2 linked regions of the Drosophila melanogaster genome follow. The gene in region 2 interacts genetically with the main gene of each other region. Each region holds a gene or a part of one and is shown on either strand. Other genes may lie near its edges.

The links. A genetic interaction does not mean that the proteins touch.
Region 1: of Chchd2 (region 2) and Thor, changing one suppresses a phenotype caused by changing the other (phenotypic suppression), as found in Drosophila melanogaster (one study listed by BioGRID).

The regions. Positions count from the first base shown.
Region 1 is NT_033779.5:3,476,516-3,480,129, forward strand, and holds Thor (thor), read left to right. Parts: upstream 1-1,918; 5' UTR 1,919-2,100; coding exon 2,101-2,245; intron 2,246-2,669; coding exon 2,670-2,878; 3' UTR 2,879-3,097; downstream 3,098-3,614. UniProt on the Drosophila melanogaster protein: Repressor of translation initiation that regulates eIF4E1 activity by preventing its assembly into the eIF4F complex. Hypophosphorylated form competes with eIF4G1 and strongly binds to eIF4E1, leading to repress translation.
Region 2 is NC_004354.4:17,147,479-17,151,189, reverse strand, and holds Chchd2 (Coiled-coil-helix-coiled-coil-helix domain containing 2), read right to left. Parts: upstream 2,190-3,711; 5' UTR 2,054-2,189; coding exon 2,007-2,053; exon of another isoform or gene 1,714-2,006; intron 1,357-1,713; coding exon 891-1,356; 3' UTR 543-890; downstream 1-542.

The sequences.
Region 1 (3,614 bases), on a different chromosome or scaffold from region 2:
AAAAACACCCCTCGGCGCTTAGAGAACCGGCTAGGAATATCTCAAGACGCATTTTAACTTGGCTGCAACGCAGTAGGAAAACTGCCTGCCGTCTCTTTCCTCGCGGCTATAGGCCTGTCTCTCTCTCTTTGCGCAGGTACATCATATTGTATCTGATGAAAACGAAAGCAAAATCCGAACTGGTTTCTTCGAGGGTTGATAAGCCCTAATGGAGGTGGAAAATGCGGAGAAGAGCCGCTCTCTCACCCAAAAAATAAAATATATAAACATATCAGCCGGCACGTAGGGCGGTTTCTATGCTGTGGACTACGTGCTAGATGACACGGCAAAATTGTCCGTGTTTTTCGTGTTCTGGCTCCCTTGTTTACCGTTTACTACTTTGGGGGTCAGTTGGCACCCAGCTAACTCCCACCCCCATCTAGTGTAATTGATGGATTTGGGTCATGCTTTCCCCAATTCAAATATGCTCCTCGTCACATGGAAATCTACTTTCAAGGTCTGTCAAGCTTCCCCATTTAGCCATCATAAATATTAGCACGCTTAAGTATCGACCTTGTGCAGATTTCTAGGTGGGCGCCATCCCCTGTCCCACATCGAGATCATGATCGCCGCAGATCAACACACGTGGCCACCTTTTGTCAACCCCATATCCCTCGGAATGGCCCGTGGCCAATATCCGAATTACGTCGAATCGTGGGCGCCAACGTAGGCAAAAGTTCCTGTAGCACTATTTACATGCGTCCAACGATTAAATATCGTCAACATCGCCCCCGCATAGCTAAAACCGCTCGTGCCGCTGCTTGGATCCACCCTATGCTTGCTGCGATCAGTGGGGCATATTAGTTTGATTCCAAACAAGATATTCCACCTCAAAGAACTTGGGAACTAATAAGGGTTCGATCACCAAATTTGGTGATATGATATATGTATTTCTTTAGATATGTGCGCTAATATTAAACGGCTAAGAAGTCAATGTGCCAAAGAAAAGATATTAAATATGTATGTTTCATATCAGTCAAGTTAAATTTTGATATGAGCTAAGCGTACTTTTGGATTGTGCACTCCTAAATATAGAAATCACGCTAAAATTGCATATCTAAGTAAATAAAGCAAGTAAGTTATGTAAGACGTGTATCTTTTCGTGATAATTATTTCAAAACGGCTCGTGCCAGATAATAATGAACACTTTCCGCCTGAAAAAAAGTGAAATGCTGGGTATCTTTTAGCCCATAAAAACCTGCAATATCGTTGCTCAAATTGCTATGCTCCGCGAGTTCGCACATGCATAGAAGGCACTCATAGCCTACGTCACGATTGCCGGCGACGTGTCTTTATGCTAATTAATGGTATTTCGCGAAAACGAGTGCAAAATAATGGCCCCATGGAGAGAGCGGCAGTACTTCACGAAATTCTGCGGAACACCTCTTGACTCCCAGACAGCCATAGATAAGATCCCAATTGCACCTGAGTCATCATCATTTCCCTAGCAAGATCGACAATAGACTTGGTTTTTAGAAAAGAATGCGATTGGCGTTTAGTGCTGTTGGCTAACTTGTTTACCAATAATATTGCCGTGCATTAAACAATAACAAATGACCAAAGATAAACAAGAGCTCAAGGCGAGAAGCCCCTCAAGACAGCCCCCCACCATCGCTACACCCCTTATCATCTAGAACCTCCGAGGTGTGCAGGCTGCAACAAAAATAAGAACAATAGGGGAATATATTAGAATACGGCAATAACAACAAGAACCAGCCGGTTTGTCATAAACTACGCAGAAAATACACCAGATAAAAACAAAAAACATCAGCCGACCAAGCAGAATAATCAGGCGAGAGAGCAGGCGAAAGAGCGAGAAGAGAGCGAGAGAGAGTAAGAATGGGGGGGTATAAATAGAGCCACACTTCGTAATACCGCCAGCAATCGCCTAGCGAACAGCCAACGGTGAACACATAGCAGCCACACAAGCTCTATAGCTGATACAAGCAACGAAATACAAACAACGCAGTTTGTGTAAACAATCAAATTGTCGCAGCCATATCGAGTGTGCTTACACGTCCAGCGGAAAGTTTTCGAAACCAATCCAATCAATCAGCTAAGATGTCCGCTTCACCCACCGCCCGTCAAGCCATCACCCAGGCCCTGCCCATGATCACCAGGAAGGTTGTCATCTCGGATCCGATCCAGATGCCCGAGGTGTACTCCTCGACGCCCGGCGGAACCCTCTACTCCACCACTCCTGGAGGTAAGTTTCGAAAATTGGAAGCTGAGACTACATCGAGTATTATTAAGTTCCTTCCGGAAAGTGGAGTGATTTTCTTATCATTAGATATGATATCAAGATGAAATTAATCAACATATTTCGAAAACATAAACAAGTATACCGTTTCTTTCCTTTGCTCAAACAACAAACAAGCTTTTGTTTGAGTTGTGATACATTATTTTTGTAAAACTCACTCACCATTTTTTGGCTGATGAAACTGGGCCATCTCGCCGAGTCAGTCAGTTGGAAGATAATCCCGAGCACATGTTCCACAGTTCGTGACTCAGAGTAGCGCGGCAAAGAAGCGTTTACTCAGCTGGCTTATCAGTGGGGAACTTTGAATACCTTTCTGATGCAACGCAGACCACCTTGACTAATAAAAATTTCCGCTTTCCTATAATTCCAGGCACCAAACTTATCTACGAGCGGGCTTTCATGAAGAATCTCCGTGGCTCCCCATTGAGCCAAACTCCGCCGTCCAACGTGCCCAGTTGCTTGCTGAGGGGAACTCCGCGTACTCCCTTCCGCAAGTGCGTGCCCGTCCCCACGGAACTGATCAAGCAGACCAAGTCGCTGAAGATTGAGGACCAGGAACAGTTCCAACTGGATCTGTAGGGGGTGTGGCGTGTACACCGCCATGCAGCAACTGCCAAATCCAACTAGTTCTTAGATGCACCCACTAAAACCGATCTTATAAGCTTAGTGTACCCATTAACTAGATGCTAAGTTCTTAGTTCTTCCACCTTGTTTGTTCTCTCGGTCATATTGACCCCGTTACCTTGTAAAATCGTAGATCTTAAGTAAAATGCAATAAAAAAAAGGCACACATTATTTAAAAGAGAACCACACCTTCCATTGGGATTCAGTAGCTGCCAATTTACAATTATAAATTTTAATTTATGTTTGAGAAATTCAGTGCCAAATTACTTTCTTTATCGGCAATTCAACCTTGGCAGGCCACGCGTTATGTGATAGAACACTTTCCACTTCACCTTGAGTCAGTTTCGGTTTAGTAGTATTTTCGGCAGTTTGTTGAACTGTTTGAACTGTTTACGAAGAAATTTAGCGAAAGGGGGCTTTTTGGGGGGCGGTACACATGTTAGACAGCTGGAAATACCGGCCGGCTTTTTAGTTAGCCAGTCAGTCAGTGGCCCCAGCAGCGCGTGTCCCACTTATTGCAAAGATATGCATACATATTTATAATGTATCCAAAAACCGGCAAACAAACGCCACAAAAAAATAGATCTTTAAGAAACTGCGCAGTTGGGAAACGACCTCGCCTTTGGCCCCCGCCCCGCCCTTTACCATTTTTCTTATATATACAAAAGTAGTGTGCTGAGCACATGTTCGT
Region 2 (3,711 bases):
TAGGGAACCTTTTAAACAGTTCTTAACTTTTCAAAATTACGTTTCCACGGCAAATATTTCATAAGACCATTAATAAGATCTATGACTAATCGCTCGTTTAACCATGAATATGTACATCTGTATGTGTATAGCATATAATAGAATATATATGCTATATAACCCTTCATTTATAACTAAACAGCAAGTAGGTAAACATGTTTATCATATTTCCCATTTGTTTACCACCTAATTTCAACAAAACAAAGCGCATTGCAATCAAAACACAAGAAAAGCTGAAATGAAAGACACGTGACAATGAAAAAGGCGAAAAGGGGTTCCCATACAAATGTATAGGGAAATGAATCGATTTTCCTATTTATAGAAGTGCAATGTCACCAAAATTATTTTTGGCAACCGCATGCAGCCACATTTCACAATAGAATGCAAATTTTGCATTTTCCAGAAGGAGGAAAAGGGAAAGTTGCATTTTTTCTAGAAGCTTCTTGAAAAATGAATATTTCAAAGATTTTCTTGGCTCCTTGTTTAGACAACAATTATAACTTGATATTAACTTATGCATATATTTATATTTTAAACAATAAAAACTCTTGGAAACTTCGTTTTGTTTTGGCCCACATTGACAACCCGTGGGGTTTGGTTTCTTTTTTGTTTTGTTTGTTTGTGTTTTTTTTTGGAAAGGGTTTTGGGCTGCCAACGGGATTTTCTATTTAACATTTCATTTTGCACTACAATTAAACAATGCTTTCTTTCAGATGCTTGCAATTAAACAATTAAGAACTAAACGAAGGGATAGGACAGAGTTCATCCGGAGGTGTTCATCCGATGGGTTCATCCGGCTGCGTTCATCCGCCGGTGCTTGGCCAGATGATATTCTACCGGAGCTGGGCCCTCTACTGGAGATGGTGGCTCTGCTTGCACTGCCGCAGCGCCTCGTTGAATCCCTCGCAGAGGGTAAGATCCGCCTGACCCTGGGCGCACTGGATGAACTGTTTGAGCTCCCAGGCGCAGGCTCCCTGCGGCTCATTGGGCTGCTGCTGCTGGGCGTAGTATGGCTGCTGGGGGGCAGGAGCGGCTGCCGCCGGAGCGGGAGCAGCGGCCTCCTTGTCGCCAGATCCGCTGAACAGCGAGGTCAATCCATGACCCACGGTGTGTCCAATGGCTGAGCCCACGGCCACGCCTCCAGCGGTGGCGGCCATCTGCTGGAACATCGATGGCTGCTGCGGTGCCGGCATGCCGACGGCACTGGGAGGAGCGCTCATGGGCGCCGGAACAGGGGCAGAGGCGGCCGGTGCTGGGGCACGTGTCTGGACAGGAGCCGGGGCCGGGGCGGGGGCACGGGCCTGCACAGGTGCGGTGCTGTTGGGAAAACAGAAGCAATCAGTTGTTATTGTGGACTTTGCTCTGGAGTGTCGTTGATCATTCCGTGACGAAATTGAAGGGTCTTTGTGTTGAAAACAATGAACTATACAAATTTAACTAATTCCTAGGATTTTTAAAGGACTTTATTTTATATCTACTGCAAAAGTAGGTAATATTTTTATATTCCTATGCAAATTCTTGTTTTCTTTATAATAAGCCAAATTGTATAAACATTTGAATATTTTACTTTTTTAACGCAAAATAAAAACATGTGATGTTTTTAATTTAATAAATCAATGGCCTGGGATATATATATATATTTACATAGAACAATAAATTTAGTAAATTTCTTACAAAAATGGATTTTATGAGCACTTTCGTAATTGAATAAGTAGCCAGATTTAGCGGGTCTTCCGCTAGGAGGACAGCACCAATAAAACATCCCATGTTATTGGGAATCCTCTTATTTTTAAGGTTACGTAACCTTAACCCATTTCGGGGGCCGGAAAAAGCGGCGGAAGTGAAATTCTGTCCATGAGATAAAGCCAGATCATCCGATTGATTGGTCGGTGATTACGAAATGAATTTCCTGCCGGCGCTTTATCCAATTTCCCCCGAATTTTCTTTGTTTTTCGCGACTGTCTTACCGACGAGTGGAGGGCGGGGGACTGGCTGAACGTCCACGGCGAACCATTTTGTTTGTTTTATTTGTTTTTCTATTGATTCGGTTTCACGCAAGAATTTTATTCTCAACAGTTGTTGCTGTTTTGATGACGAGCTAGTAACTGAAATTCCGAAATAATCCCAATTGGACGAGAAACTTCGGCCTGCTGCCAGTGTGGCCGGAGAAAATACCGAAAAATACTAAGGCATAAGGTGTAAACTATCGGATATAGAATGTGCCAGAAAAGTTAATAATATGGGTAAATTCTTATGATTAAAAATATATTTTACTAAAGTATTTGGATATTGTATTCGTGTAAAAACGTTTTACCACCCTTAAATTTACTATGTAATATAGTAAAATTTTTGTGTATTTTATATATCCCATATATATAATCTTTACATACCACATATTTTTTTCCACTTACAAAATCAAATAAAGAACTATATGTTATAAATATATATGCATTACGATTTAAATAACTTTTTATTTTACAGTCAGTGAAATAATAACATTTAATACTCAAGCATATCAAAATTTCTATAAGGTGACCGTAATAAAGAAAATTTGGCATGCGAATTTCAACTATCGCCACCCGTTGTGACTGGCAAAACCGCGAAATGCCGCATATCGATAGAAAGTTCGAAATTTGTCATTAAAAAAGTGGCTTAAAACTAATAGTATGCCTGAAAGCAGGGTATATTTCTATGAAGTACATATAAATGTGCAACTCAAGTAGCAAACGCGTTCGAAAAAGTGATTAAGTCGAGGAATAATCCCCACTCATGGCCGCCTATCTCCGTTCGATAGTTCACTTGTTGCGCAGCCCTGGCAGCCGGAATGCAACCGTGTGCGTGTCGGCGGAAGCGGACTCTCTGGCGTTGCTGCACACTGCCGTAACATGTTCTTTTTCAGGCGTTTGCCTTTGCGCTGACATCGTATCTCGATTTCTTCTGTGACAAAGTAAGGGATTTTCAACGTTTAATTGTGTGGATTGTGGCCAGAGGATGGCCAAAAGACGGCTAAACGCTGGCAACTAGTGTGGATACTAAGGGTTTTGTGAATTTACTGCGGCAAACTGCGGAATATTGCCATTTCCACCGAAATGAGGTTAAAAACGGGCGGCTTTTTGTTTGTGTGTGTGCGCGCGAGTGCAACTGTGTGTGTGCGTCACACGTGTTTGTTTCCCCTTTTTTTTTGTATATTTTTTTTATCTGCTTGCAGCGCAAGAATATGTTTAATACAATATACATCCACGTATATTGAGCCAATTATCCAAAAGGATAACCTTCAAGAAAGTATAAACCCTTAAAAACTCGCAATTCAACAACAACAACGCGCGTGTGTTTTTTACGGTGCTTATGCGTGTGTGTGTGTGCGTATAGCGCCCATCTACAGTTTAAAAAAAACGTGTTAACGCAGGAAAACTACTTAAATATGTATTTAAAAGTTATTGTGACCCTTTTTGTATACTTAAACGTAATCTTCACTGAAACTTCCGTCTTTCATAAACCTTGGAACTTTTTTTGTAGTTTATTTTTGTTTTAAGACGTTTTTAAGATTTAAAAACGAATGTTAAGGCTCTAAAAATTATTCGTATCAGTTTATCACAGCCTTTTCTTGGGTTTTGTATTTGTAAAAGAATTTTTCAAACGAAATCTAGTTAAAGTTATAAACAATTTGTATGT